Linked DNA regions of Oreochromis niloticus. The protein of the gene in region 1 interacts with the protein of each later gene in a pairwise test. Links are inferred from orthologs where the notes say so. Each region holds a gene or a part of one and is shown on either strand. Other genes may lie near its edges.

What was found. The genes of interacting proteins can lie anywhere in the genome.
Region 2: the proteins of drap1 (region 1) and gtf2b interact in binary tests that used the Homo sapiens proteins (3 or more experiments, as listed by UniProt). The two-hybrid records come from large-scale screens. The link is inferred for Oreochromis niloticus from reciprocal best matches to the Homo sapiens genes DRAP1 and GTF2B.

What each region holds. Positions count from the first base shown.
Region 1 is NC_031967.2:4,878,460-4,885,955, forward strand, and holds the start of drap1 (dr1-associated corepressor), read left to right. Parts: upstream 1-4,427; 5' UTR 4,428-4,575; coding exon 4,576-4,617; intron 4,618-5,207; coding exon 5,208-5,280; intron 5,281-5,485; coding exon 5,486-5,579; intron 5,580-6,711; coding exon 6,712-6,837; intron 6,838-7,496. Other genes in the region: rela (transcription factor p65), read left to right, coding at 41-121, 232-303, 478-1,286; lg3h11orf68 (UPF0696 protein C11orf68 homolog), read right to left, coding at 2,712-3,455. UniProt on the Homo sapiens protein: The association of the DR1/DRAP1 heterodimer with TBP results in a functional repression of both activated and basal transcription of class II genes.
Region 2 is NC_031982.2:10,684,419-10,692,228, reverse strand, and holds the start of gtf2b (transcription initiation factor IIB), read left to right. Parts: upstream 1-4,793; 5' UTR 4,794-4,915; coding exon 4,916-4,932; intron 4,933-7,810. UniProt on the Homo sapiens protein: General transcription factor that plays a role in transcription initiation by RNA polymerase II (Pol II). Involved in the pre-initiation complex (PIC) formation and Pol II recruitment at promoter DNA.

The DNA.
Region 1 (7,496 bases):
CATTTCTCAAATTTAAACTTTATCATTTCCACCCCTGCAGATGAATACAGGCTGAGTGAGAAGAGAAAGCGGACAGGAGACATATTCCAGAACCTGAAGCTAGGGCCCTTGCTATCTAGTGGTACGTTGATAAGATTTTTTTTTTTTCTGTCAGCTGAGCATAGTGTAATTGGATAATGGTTACACTGTTGTAACTGCACGGTATTATAAACACGTCTTCTGACATTTCAGTGACCACTCCACAAGATAGACAGCACCTAAACCCATCAAGGAGAAAGCTGACAGCCAAGCCTCCACAAGCTGGTGAGTCTGTTTCAGATGTTCCTTCCTTATTTGAACTCATTTGAAGACATACAGACATCTCCTCATCTTCCTTTCTTAAGGCAGTTGAGTCATTAGCGGTGAACTTTGTGTATGTGAAATATGTGAGAAGGATTTTCTGCAGTGAGTTCTCAAATCACTTGTTTGTGTTTGCAGCAGCTGTGGTGCCTACTGGTCCCCTTGGGGCAAAATCACATACCCAATACTTCCAACCTGGCCAGCTATTTTCAGAGCAGACAAAGGTAGAAGCCTCTAACATGTCAGCAGCTCCTACCAACCAGTGGAAGATGACAGGCCTGGGCTCCCAACCAAAAGCAAACCCAGTGTCTAGCTTTTCAATGAACCCATCACCGGCCACCGTCTCCTCTACCATCGCTTCCACTTCCAATCAGGACTACTCAACGGTCAACCTGTCAGATCTTCATGAATTCTTCCCCAACATTTCCTCGACTATCACCCAGCAGGAGCCCTCAGCTTCTCAAATAAACTTGGCCTCCTCACAGACAAGCAACTCCTTCGCCCTCCAGAGCACTCAGTTCCGGGCGGACCCAACACTTGTGGATGACGATATCCCAGATTTCCCTAGCTTCACTGAAGGCCAGGTCCCAGTCAACCTGGACAGCCTCAACATGGATGACTTGGAGGATCTTCTGAACCCCCAGCTTGTTGGTGTAAATCATCCTTCATGTCATCAGACTGGCCCTTCAGCCTCCTCTACCGCTGCCCAGACTAGTGCAGCACCTCAGAACACTTCTGACCCTGCCAGCACTCCAGGAAGCACTTGGATGAATTACCCCAACAGCATCGTGCATCTGCTCCAGAACGAAATCATGACAGACAGCAGACCCAATAACAACCAAATGCTCGAAGACTTCGATGAGTTGATGTCTGCAGATGAGGACCGTCTTATTTCCATTTTTAACAGTGGAAGCCAAGCTGGGTTTGTGTCAGGACACCCGACTTAAAGTTTGTTTCATTTTTCCAAAGACCAGTTGTATCTTCCCCTGTGGCCATCAGGACTAAAACTTCTTTATTATTGTAAGGCAAAAAAGGAAGTAGGCAGGAGACCGAATGTAGCAGCACTGCTCACTGTGGACACACTTCTTAAAATACCAGCAATGACTTTATGGTATTCAGTCTGACGCCTTGCCCAGTCATATAGTTTGTCTGATAAATTACAAAACCCATAATGTAGGTGATCAGATTTCATGCCCTGTGAAACCCATGTCCAGCATCTGTGACTAAATGTTTAGGTCACTGTCAACATATTGATGGTGGAGACAGATTCTCCAGCGAATGTTTTAAGAAGACAGACAGCATGGGTACTTTGATAAAGGTATCCGGTGTGGTGATTATTTTTGGAACATGTTAAGCATGTTTTTGTACTGTTATTTGAACAATTTTGCTAGCTGTAGCCACAAAAATGTGCAGCTTTTCTCTTTTTTTGTCTTTATACAAAAGGGTTCGTATATATGTAATCAGATCTAGAGGTAAGTCTACACAGATTATGTCCGTTCTTAAAAATCATCTCTTTGGATTGCACCGTTGTTTTCTGAAGGTTAACACAAACTATCTGAATGTTCTAGAAACAAAATGAAGGTGTACATTTATCAAACAAGCAACATTACTATATACGTGCTTATACTAGAGATTGTGCTTTTTATCTGGTAATAGTTTCCACTGCTCTGTAATCAGTTTTTCTACACTTATTTTATCAGTAATGGCTGCATTTTAACTCAACTGTTTCAGACTTGCTATACTCTGCAGTAAGGTGCTTTACTGAAATGTAATTATGTTTTTACATGTATTATGAAAGTGGATCGTACTATAATTGTGCTTTTTTTTTTTTTGAGAATGAGACTAACTTTGTCAACATTCAAAACACTGTTTTGGCAATAAATACCACAACGTATAAAGATGATTTTCAAAAGAATATTTTACTTTGCAACTCTGTAACTGTTATACAGTACAAAGGAAAAAAAAATAAAGCCGAACGCAAGAGACAAATGTAAAATAGCAACAAGGAGTGCTTCACTGGATCTTCTGAAAATGTGCATACAAATCAAGGACGTTAGTCTTCTTCCCGTCACTCGAGCCTGTTAGAATCTTGTTAGTACTACTATTCTTGCTTATGTATACAATATTTTCAATACAAAAAAATCAAAGTGTTTCAGGTCATTCAGAAAATTTTACAACACAAAAAGAGACAAATTTAGTGGGGGGGTTTTCTAAAAAAAAAAAAAAAAAGGAAGAACTTGTGATCAGAATTCAACCAATGATGTTCTAAATAGTTGCAGGCAGAGGACTGTACTGTCCAACCCATCTCCTGGGATCATCACGCACCTCTTCACATACTGTTACAGCAAAGCTCCTCTCTTGGTCTGAGTAGCTTATGTTACCTCAAGATTGGTAACTTTGTTGATGATGTGGGAACGCCTGGGCACACACTCCAGGTCGAACTTGCTCTCGTATATGGTGGGGCAAACATTCCAGCGGTTGTTCCGATAGATTCCCAGGTATGTATACACATCTGGCTTGTAGGAGAGAGGGCATTTGACCCCTGTGGCACGAATGACTGAATCCAGCCTTATGACCTCATTCTCATCAGTGAAGTTCTGGTTATAGGCACAAATGACCTGCTTGCCCTCTGCCTTGCGGTCAAATGGGGTGACTTTAACGAGTGAGATCTTGCCATCTAGGGCTGCTCTGGCCACACATTCCCAAGCATGGTCCAACTTGAAACCAGTGTCCAAGTGCATAAGCCACTTGCCTGAGAGTACCCTATGGTTCAGGGCCAGCTCCCTCACTGTCTGGAAGGTGACAGGCCGGGAACTCGCCAAAAGTTTCTCCCAACTCTCCTGGAGTCCTGTGACATCCGCACCACTGGGGCAGTGGTTTGGGCCCACCACAGCAATCCACCCCACAGGGCTGACGCCACCCTCCTCGTCTCCAAATCTGGACACTTGGGAGGGCCGGTTACTCTCCAACCAGCCATCAAACTCGGATCTGGGAGTTCTTCTAGAGTCAAAAACAATCCAGGGGTCCATGTCTGCAGCCATGGCTTCAGCAGCGTAGGTCTCTGCAGCAAAGGGGGTCCTCATCTCGCCATCAACAGGGCCCTCTTCTTCCTCCATAATGGTATAGCAGTTACACGAGTAAACAAGTTCTGAAGCCTTCCTGTTGAGTTGAAGAATGCAGTTATTATTTTTATAAAAACCACTGGTTTAGCCTCTGTGTTAGCTTACAACCCCTTTGCTGTGATTTATTAGCTTACAACCCTGCCAAACTTCGACAGAAGTGGACAACTGAATTGCTTATGAATGCTAATAGCTAGCCTGCTACAACAGCGAAAGTTAGCGTTTCTCTACCACTGATTCTGTTTCACACTAAAGCTGCTATCGACCCCAGTGTACCGCCTACAGCTGACATGTCAAAGAACACGTAGAACAGCTTTCTGACTGCTTTAGCCTTGTTGTAGCTAGCCGACAAGCTAGTCTTTATAAATGTACACGCTCGTCCTTTTAGAGAAACATTAACCATTTCTAGCCAGCTGTTGAATACAACTGACGCTTTAACATTCACAGTTTTCCCATTTAAAACGTAAATAATCGCACGTCGATGTTAAACTTTGAACATAAAGGCTTACTCTACCCGTAGATGTCCAAGTTTGTTGTTCAGTGTTGATCTTCCGCATAAGCACAGCAGCTCCTCCGTATCTAAGAGCCAAAGTCCACTCAGGTGGCTGACAGTTTAACTAATAATTATTTATACATCAATTAAATTTCGTACCTCGTCCACAAATTCGACCGTATGGAACACATGATATAAATATATATTTTTACGTTTTGCTATAACATAATTATAAAAATAAGTTATGTTGTACTAGATTCAGCGACTTTTAAGAAACTTGCATGTTCCTCGGTATGTGTACATGTTAAATATGTAAGTTTCCTACATCAGTGTTTGTGTTTGTTAAGCTTTAAAAAATAAACCTGTTCCATTACTATCGTTAAAGTATTTCGTTTCTTTGCATTTGCGGAACAACATGCGCTCCAACCTGACGGCACGGAGACCCTGCGGAAACAAACTGACCGCACCGAGGAACGAGTGACGAAGACGACGTGCTAACTAGTTAGCCGGATAGCCACCACTATCTGGTGTGTGCGCGGTGGAGGCGAATTTCTGTATGAAATAGAATACGAATATAGCATATATTGTATTTTAGTTTAGTTTAGCCACCCAGGTAATTTAATTATGCCCAGCAAAAAGAAGAAATACAACGCCAGATTTCCTCCGGTAAGTTTAAACTGTGCTGAGCCGGTGTCAAAGCAAGCTAACGTTAGCAAAGTGTAACATGGAAAGCTAAGTTCTGTAACTAGCTTAAGTGGAATTCGGCCTCTTTTGTTGCTTAGAGAGCAGACAAGCCATCTAACACTCGCAAACCATTTAGTTTACAAAGCACGTGCCTTAGTGAAAAGTAGTTGATTTCATGAAGTTAGTGACCAAACATCCCCTATATGTCATTAGTTGGTGGTGTACACACATAGCAGGCGTGCTATTTAAGTTGGTCTACTAATTGACGTTGTTTTTAGCATCTCAAGCTAGGCTAAGCGGCACGCAAATAAATGTGAATAAATCCATTCTTTATTATAATAAGCTGCATAATGTATCTACAATCCTCACACTACGTGACTAGTGTAAAAGGAATGATTGCCGTTACTTTGTGGGGACCTCACATTATTCGATGTGGTGTACTGCAAACTCTTTACTAAGTTGTCCCTGAATTTCAGTGCGTTTTCACTGAAAATGATTTTTTTTTTAAGGAAAAGAAAATTTTAAGCGTTTCTGTAGACACATGCATAAAAATCGACCTTTTCTCATTTCAGGCAAGGATTAAGAAGATTATGCAGACAGATGAAGAAATAGGCAAAGTGGCTGCAGCAGTGCCTGTTATTATATGTATCCTTTCTGCCTGCAGTCGTCACTGTGCAAGTTTTGTCTTGAATGATAAATTGTAAAAGTCAAAGACTGATTAATAATTAGAGAAAAATGCTTCCTCAGTCTGTTGTGTTGTTGTGTCAAGTTGTCTATTATTGCATGTTTGATGATTTTAAAGTTCAAACACACAACTGCTTCACTGTACTTCCCTTATCCAAGATATCAGCGAGAGCCCTGGAGCTTTTTTTGGAGTCGTTGCTTACAAAGGCTTGTCAAGTCACCCAATCTAGGAATGCAAAGACAATGACAACGGCACATCTGTAAGTTCTGTGTTTGTCTTCATTGTGTTGCATTGTGTTGGAGATGAACTTCTTAGGAAGGCAAAGCCATCTGCTGTTCAGATATATGCTGTTCAGGTATATTAGGGTCAGAAAGAGGTAGTTGAAGAAAAGGGGAAAGTTGTTTATATAGAATTGTATTTGTTTTTATTGAGTGTGGCTGAAATGCTGTCAGGCCTTTATTTTCTTTATTTTTAAAGTGGACTCATGGTGAACTTCCAGCTCGATAATTTCATTCTTGGACTTTACTAAAGTAGCTTTGCTTGATTCACATTTAAAAATAACGATTATTCATAATATACACAATACACTTATTTTAAGTCAGTTTTCTTCTGATTAGTTTTAACAGTACAAAGTTCTTTCATCTCATTCAATCAAATTTCACAAAATGGGAATTGTGCAAAATTTCAGGTCTTCACAGTCATTAGTTTACTCAAGAAAATAATCCTCAGTGAAATGTTGAAAATAGGAGTGTTTTTGAATAATTCCCTAGCATAATTTTTTTTCTTTCTCATCTTCCTAAGAAAAAATTGCCTAAAACACTTTAAAGTAGATAATGTCATATTAAAATAGCCCCTCAAAAATGATATTGGAAAATGTCTAAAAACCTGGAAATATCATCCCTTGAAATATTTTTGAGAAAGCTAATAACAGCCAGGACCTGAAACTTTCTACGATTCCTATTTAGGATGTGTATCCTCCACCTGGAATGTTTTTTCAGGTAAGATGGTGAGGTGAGAAAGCATTTGATGAACTGACAAGGACTGGCCCTATACATTGCAAAAAGATAAATAAATAAATAAGTAAGGAAAATTATTATGAGCCGCTTTTGCAAAAAAAATGGCATCCTGTTACACAGCATGATTTACTGTGTGGTGGGAGCCTGATAGTGCTGTGGAGCACATTTGCAGCACATTGCCGAATCCCTTGTATCTGAAAGTATTTCTGGCCTGTGTAAGACAGAGCCCGCCAAAACAATCTTTCCCTGTGACTCAGACTGTATGTGTTGCTAAAATGAGTATGTACACCATTAAGCTTGCTGTCTTTTTGATACGAGCTTACATTTCACTTGGCAAGTAAGGCTGAGGAGAAAACTGTTCATATTTATTCACAGAAAGCAATGCATTGAGCTGGAGCAGCAGTTTGATTTTTTAAAAGACCTTGTTGCAGCGGTGCCAGACATGCAGGGAGAGGGGGAAGAGAACCACACCGAGGGGGGAGGAGAGAAAGTCCCACGAAGGTAATATTTGCTCACACAGACACCCAAACATGTAGAGAAAGAGTCATGATGCTTTGAAAGCGAAGGAGTATTTCACATACACAGTGAAAACACTCCAGGGTGATATGAGGCAGCCAATCCAGCTGCAGATAATTTGGACTTATTTCATTAAGCAGTTTGTAATTCAGTCTGCTCTGATAAGTGCACACACGCACATCGGTTTAAACTAAAAATGATTCGCACGAACAGACAGAATCTGTGCACGTTATCTTTTCCTCTTCTGGAAATGAGCACTGCTGTAAATTGGAACCGACAGCTGCGATATGTCTATAATCCTTGCAGTGTTACCGTACTCCTATGTTCCTTTAGTTTTGTGATTCTAGATTATCTCCCCCAAAATAACAGAAGAAAATGAAAGAGTTGGCCAGAGCAAAAATTAATTATTGAGGAATTGTAGACAAGAAAATGCAGTATTGACTGTCAGATCAGACACCGGCACCACAGCTAATTTGTAGCGGAGAGCTTGGCGGGCAATTAGACATGAATTAAATGAGTAAGAGAAGGCTTCTTTTCTCTGAAGACTGCGGCTGATTGGATTCAGATTCAATTCAAAGTGGTCGTAAAACTTGTAATGTTTAGACATTTGGTGTCAGCAAGTGCCTCAGAGTAATTTTCACCAG
Region 2 (7,810 bases), on another chromosome or scaffold:
GTAAGTAACACCATCTTGTGATGGCTGTGTTTGCACAAAGAGAAGTGAATGAAAAAAGACAGCGGACTCACTTAACCTTCTGATCTCACAAAGTGCTGTTACACAACTCCCAGTCACTCCATGACCACCTTTATAACCATTCATATGGTTTAAATTTGGCCACTGCCCTCATGCCAAACCTGCTTTGGTTTATGTGACTGTGGCGAGGATTATGGCCGGTGTGGTGAGGCTTACAAGTGGCATAAATTATTCAGCATGGATCTCCGTCTCAGATTTCTAAAGAATGCGCTGCACAACATCACACTCTTGCGTCAGCCTTTGCATTAATCAGTGAAATAACTGCACATGTATACATTTGAGGTCCCTATGTAGAAGTAGGAAAAATAAACAGTCATTCAGCTTCTTTCAAAGCCACAAAGCACCAACAAAGACAAACAAACAGACCTGTTTCTATGGCAGTTAATTTCCCCCATATGCACATACAGCTCTCACCCACACACAAACACACGCGCACACAGAGTGGAGAGGGAAATTCAGCCTTTGGTTAGTTAGACTAACTAATCTAATGCTAGCTATGTGCTGGGGGAGGGCTTGGGATTGGTGGATGAATGCAATCAATAAAGATTTGTTGGATATACTTAGAGAAGAAAATGTAGTAATATGACAGTCATAAAGAATGATAATGTGGTGATGCAGCAGGAAAATGATGGATAACAACCTCTGAGGCCCTGAGGTAGTTGTTACTCTTTGTGCATCTGCATGTGTTTGAGACAAAGAAGCAGACTGAGCACATTACCATTTTTATGTCATTATGCTGTGACTTGTAACAATATCTCCAAGTGGAATCTGCACAGAAACAGCTGGCCCATTCAAGGGTTTTCGCTATCAGTGATATTAAAAAGCACGAGTCAGGCAAACATTTCACTAGAAAGACAAAGATTATACTGAAAGACAAACAAAAATATTTGAAAAGGCTTGGGGGGCATTTTTGGTCCATTGTAAAAGATTTGAATATAACAGAAGATCAGTCATTCCAGTAATTTGGTGAAACGGTATTTAATCTTGACACTGAACATTTCTTTACAATTTGCTTCCAAGGAGCCAGACGTTTCTTGTTTTTTTTTTCTTGAGCAATGGCTCGCCAGACTAAACACGGACTTATGAATCATTAAAGCATATAAAACGCACTCTGAATGACTCAAGAGATGAAATGAGTTGTGTCCACACATAACAGACAGCTTAGCAAAGTGTCAATTTTAAGTTAAATTTCTAGGCACTTTATTACTAGCAGCACATCACAAAAATCATACAATCTGTTCTCATTTCTTTAGCTGAATCTTCAAAACGCACAGGACATGAGAGCTGCATCTGACTTTTCAGTTGATCCATCTAATGTTCTCTGAAGCCTCATCAGAAATGGTCTCAGTGGAAGTGTGGCTGTCAAGAAGCCATTCTTATGGAAGTGAAACAGAGAGAAAAGGCTGAAGGAGCACTTAAAGCCACGTATGAAGCCTGATAATTTGGGCTGTTTTGAAGGTGTAAAGTGAAAGATATTTTCAAAGGTTAAAGGGATCTTGAGTAAGAAAAGCATTTTGTAACCCCATGCCATAGCCTGCTTAAGTGTAACCATTTTCCGCTTGCAGCAGTGCGTCTCTAATGGAGTAACCAGCACAGTCATAAACCTCACAGGCCGCTGAATTCTGCACATGTATGTATGTATGTTATATTTGTCATTGTTAGTAAATTACCATTAAGAGGGACATTTTCCTGTTGGTCTTCTTTTATGTTTCTGCTTTGCCTCTGTTTTGATCATTGCTAATAACATTTTTCAAATATTCATAAAGCTATTGCATATTAAAAGATTTATAAACGCATCACATGAGGCCATGTTTCAGGCAAATATCATTTGTGCAGCAAAAAATGAGATTATCTCGCTGTGCACAGCTGTCCTCTGTATCATTTCCTGAACAACCGAAACACATTGGAGTGTTCTTTTGTTTTTTTTGGTTCTTTTGGTAGGATAACCATACAAAAGCTTTTTTTCAACGAGCCAGAATCAGCCATGCTTTGCAGATATAAGATGTATACACTCATCAAAGAGTTACAGTCTCAGAGTCGTGGTACTGTTCAAGCAAACCTGAACCAAATCATGCTGAATGATAACCAATAACTGTAAACATGGTAAGTATTGCAGAGCTCTCGTAGCATGTGCATATTCCACACCTCAGTCACTGCTTTTATTTTTTAGCTCCATCTGGTGTTGTCCTGATGCACACTGACTGTCCTGGCTTATGTGCTGATGTAATGATAATGCAGTAGGTGCAGACTGCAGCTGAAAGCATTTTCTTTAAGCAACAGACATTAATATAAGTTGCAAACACAATTGTATTTGTGTTTATCTCACTCAGGTTTAGTTGCCTCAGATCCTTGCCTTTGTTATTTTGCTACCACAAAACCTGACCAAATCATATGAGTCTTTGCGACTGTGGTTTCCTGCATATGCCAAAGAATTATTACACAGACTGGTACTGAGTCACACAGACAAACTGACAGCAATCTGGCAGACCTTTGTTGCCTCTTATGAAAAGAAAAAAAAACTGTGCAGTTTAAAGATTTGTTTTAAATAAAGAAGTTTGAAAGATTCAGTTAACTTTTCTCAACTATTGAGCCACTGATGGGTTTGTGTTACAACACAGGCTAACCACAATCACAATTTGTGTCACAGTCTGGTGCAATGTGAGGTTTGTATTTGTTAGGTTATGCAGTACCATGTGTCTGTTGCATAGGCTGTTTTGGCCGGTAGTTAAAGGTTTGCTTTAGTGGTCTATCTGACAGTGTGAGGGGTATAGTCTACAATGAATGAAGTTCAACATAGCCAGGATTTCTTTGTGTTAGCTGGCTCGACACAAAACCAGAGATAACGGGATAGGAGGAGACAGCCGATATTGCTGGGCTTTTCTGCCTTGCGGATCCATTAGCCCTAAGGTTCGAGTAGGCCTACTCTCTGTGGTATCCTCTTACAGGAAAAAATTCGAAGATCACCACATAGTCACCAACACTTCCAAGTACGAAAAGGGACAGTGCCAATTATCACCACTTTTGGTAAAGAACAGTGGGCCCATGACCCTTCTTTCTCACAAAATGATCCCTATGAGTGCCTCCAATCAGAGATAAAAAAACAAACAAACATTAAAAATATGACAGTGAAACTTTAACCTGCATACAATTAGACATTAAAGGCTTATGATTCATGGCAAACTACCAGACTCAATGTTATGTATTTTATTTGTAGCAGTTAAAAAGGACAAAGCTGTAAAATTGAGTTGCACTAGCCAGTATTTTATCTAAGGTGCTAGAAAAAATCTTGTTTGATAGAGTTAGTGTGTTCATCTCTTCCCTGGATAATCAGTTTGGCTTCAAACCAAAGCATGGCACGGACATGTGCATATATGCACTCAAGGGAACAGTCAGTTTGTATAGGTCCTAAAATTCATCTGCCCTTATGTGTTTCATTGATGCCTCTAAAGCTTTTGATCGAGTGAACCCTGGAAAACGTTTTGATAAATTGAAGCGACGGAGAGTTCCTGGATAGATTGTGAGGATTCTGTCTTACTGGTACGCTCATCAGAAGATGCAGGTTAATGGGGAAGTGGCATTTCTGCCCCCTTTGGTGTTAGCAATAGTGTCAGACAGGGTGGGATTTTGTCTCCAATTTTATTTAATTTATATGTTGATGATGATTGTCCATACAGCTGAGAACCTGTAACACTGGATGTATATTAGGTGAAACATTGATGAATCATCATATGTATGCAGATGAACTGGTTGTTTTTAGTCCAAGTAGTGCTGGATTACAGTAGCTTCTTAATATTTGTACTGAATATGGTGTGCTATATGATATAAAGTACTACGCTGTTAAAAGTGCTATCTTGACATGTAGAACAAAGCAAGATAAACAGCTAAATTTCCTTGTGTTTAAACTGTCCGACGATACTCTTGAGGTTCATAAAAGGTGAAATACCTTGGTCACTTTATTACTGATTAAATGAATGATGATGATGATGACATATATGGACAACGTGGAAACTCTTTGTGCAGGCAAATACTATTACAGTATAATTTTAGCAATCACAGAGCTGACAGTGAGTGGTTCCCGTTACTCATTCACTCTGAGGAAGCACGGGTTGAAGTGTTTGTGTATTTATTGATTTCTAAGTAAATGTGTATTTTATGTATATTATGGTTTTATATCTTTCAAATATTTTATTTTTTTAATTAAGGTTTATATGTTGTGTTGTGTTTTGTTGTTTCTTTTGTTTAACTATGGACATAAAGTCTGTCGATAAAGATTGATTGATTGTTACCGTCCCACGGTGTAATGAAGGAGACATGACAGTCACTATACTTTGTCAGTAGTTCAAACTGAAATGAATTTTATTGACGAAATTCGTGGTGTTCTGTGTTTTTGCAGCTGCAGTCAGAAGCAGATTAGAATCAAGCATAACAACATTTATTTATGTTTTTATAGGTGTTTATAATGCATCCACGTTCCTGTGAAAGTCACTTCACACATCATTTAGTGGTTTTAGTACGGTTTGGCGATTAGCCAGATAAACAGACACGTTCATGTCACAGAAAACTCTAACGTTAGGCTGGCTTAGCTCGCGTAACCATTAATGTATTGTCATTGTACATCGTTCTTGACAATAAATGAAAATGTCCAAAAACAAAACAAATATTGCGTATTCATGTGACGCATTTTTACAGCCCAACGTAAAAGAAACTGAAGGCTACCTCTATTTAATTTGGTCTTTTTCTTTTCCCGTACTCATGTGGACACGTGATCAGAAGAGGTTATAAATAGAGGTGCCACACTCATTTGTTTCTTTGATTCTGAGGCAGAGTAAGAAGTGACATGGCCTCTACAAGCCGGTAAGTGATAGAGCCAAGTAAATGTAATACCTATACTTTCTTTGCATGTGGTTCTAAGATGTTAATTCATAAGAACAAATACTGGTGTGCGCCGTGGTTCCTAAAGCTAAAACACTATACGTCCCTGTGCTTACCGATCGGTGTTCGTTCCATTGTGCTATTTGTTAGCACAGCTAGTTAGCTGGCTAGCAGTTAGCCATTAGATGTTACCAGAAGTCGGTGTTTTTGTTGGACAGCGATGTGGTGCTGATGCTCCTGCTTTTTGCCACGTTATCGTCTTTGCATTGTAGACTTGTTTGTCCACATTTCAACTTTTTTCGTGTATTACAATGGTGTGAAGCTGAAACTGAAGCTAATGTGTTGTTGACGTTACCACTCAGTGAGCAGTTGTGAATCATTTGTAAACACACGCAGTTTCCCGTGCAGTCTGTCTACCTTTACACAACAGTGGTCTGACGTACCCTCCTTTAAGCACGTATAATAAATTACTGTAGTTTAGCAAATAATTTCTGCATTCAAAGTTACTAACATTATTGATTTTGCTATCAGTGGCACGGTAAGGATGTGCGTATGAAGGAGTAAAGTGCAGTTGATTGAGCTAATTTGACTGAGAGTTTCACATCCACTCTTTTAATGATTGCTATTGTGAAGTATTTCCCGTTTTCCTTGCAAAATGTAAAGAAGCGATGGATGTTTGGTTTTTTTTCAAATTCAATATTGTACGTATGTAATATAGGGCTGGGTGTCGTCACAGATTTCTAGAATCGATTCGATTCCGATTCACAAGGTCTCGAATGGATTCAATTTGAATCAGGGAAATTTTGCCTCAGACAGTCAGAAATATTATAAATCTTATCATTTATCAGTACATATCCATATTTTTATATCTATAAAAAGAAAGCTGACACTTGTGAGACTTTATCAAAGGTGTAAGCATCACAGCAGATGCCTTTGTGTCAAAGTAACTTAGGATAAAACACAGAAAATCGATAATCAAAACCCACCCCTAATGTAATATAAATCAGAAATCCACCAACAGTGAAGAGATTACCATCCATGATCTAAAAAAAAAGTGGGTTACAGTTTAATTTGCCAGTGACAGAAATGTACATTTGTGTATAACACCTTGTGTGGTTACAGACCCGGAAGGTCATGTATTGACAAGCATCTGTCAAAGAGATGTGGATTTCTCTTGATTAAACAGATAAAAAAAGATACCTTATTTGTTTCATCCACCCTTAATCAGAAACCTCCCACTCTTTGACTGTTCTGTTACTTTTCGTCATTGCGGCAAAGAACAACACCCACTACTCTCACAGATTACCTAAACTAAGTAAGAATGTATATCTCTATATATAACTCAAGAAAATCTCCTTTCAACTAACCGTGAAATGAACATAAATTCTCAGGTTTCTCACACAGGACGTTATTCCTGTATTTACTTTTGTTGCTTCCACCCCAGACACATCTGGCCAGTGAGCGGACTGAACATTCTCATATGATTTGTTATGACCAGAGATGGGCAGTAACGCGTTACTGTAATCTGATTACTTTTTTCAAGTAACGAGTAATGTAAGGGATTACTATTGCAAAAACGGTAATTAGATTACCGTTACTTTCACGTAGGAACGCTGCGTTACTGCGTTACTAAAACCGTGATTTTTTTGAGAGAACGTCTCATGACAGTGACGTAAGCGAGTGCGACGTTCCTGACAACAGCTGTGTGCAGATCATAATATATCGAGTGCGGGACAGAGTGTAGCATGCAGCGTTTAAAGCGTGGAAGTACTGACCTTATTTTGAGTTTGATTCCATAAAAAGTGACAAAAACATTAGTGTCCGTTGTGCGTGGGAAGAAAACTTTTTACAGCGAAAAAAACCCCCTAAACTTCCAAGCAAGCACAGAGTGTACTGCGACGTAATGTGAAATTCACAGAGAAACTCGCGGATTCTTCCACTGACCGCTGCGGCACACCTGCACCAGGGTAAACCTCCGCCTACCCCAGTCCTGCTTTACAGGTGAAAATAGAGCAACAGGACCGCTAGTCTTTGATTTTATTTATTTTCTGCTGTGTTTTACTTGCATCTATTTGAAAGAGTGAGTGTAAACACAAAAACATATTTTATTTTATGAGCTGGAATGTGCAGAAAATAGGTTTAAATGTTAAACAAATTTCTTCCAGTCAGAGAATGTTGCATATAATTAAGTTTTTGCTTAATGCATAAAGTTAAAAGATTAACACTAATAAAACAAGCTTTAAAAAGAGACATTTCCATTTGATTACATTTTGTATGATGGATTATGCAGAAAAATCTATCGCTTTATCACCTATTCAGGTTGTAAATCGTGTTTTTAAAAAGTAACTAAGTAAGTAATTACTTTTGAAAATAAGTAATCAGTAAAGTAACGGGATTACTTTTGGGGGGAAGTAATCAGTAATTAGTAACTGATTACTTTTTTCAAGTAACTTGACCAACACTGGTTATGACACATTTTTTTTATTCGCTTGACATTCACTTGAATTTTTCTGTGTGAAAACAAACCAAAACACGGGGAAAAGCAGCAAGTTTGCAAACTGATCAGCTGAGTCAGACCAGAGTAAAATAATTTTGTGAAAATGCCCTAAAATTTTTTAAGCTTTTTTTTTTTAACGAGATCAGAGTTCAACAATCTCAGGCTCAGTGGGAGAGAGAGTTCCAGAGTCTGAATTGTTTCTCATTTAGTTCTCAGCCTTGTATGATGCACAGCCGACAGGCCCTGATCACATGACTTCAGGGAACCTGCCAGGGATGTAAAAGTTCACTGATGTACAATTGTGCCTGTCCATGCATAACCCTAAAAGTCAAACCCAGGATCTTAACGTGGACGTTAATGGGG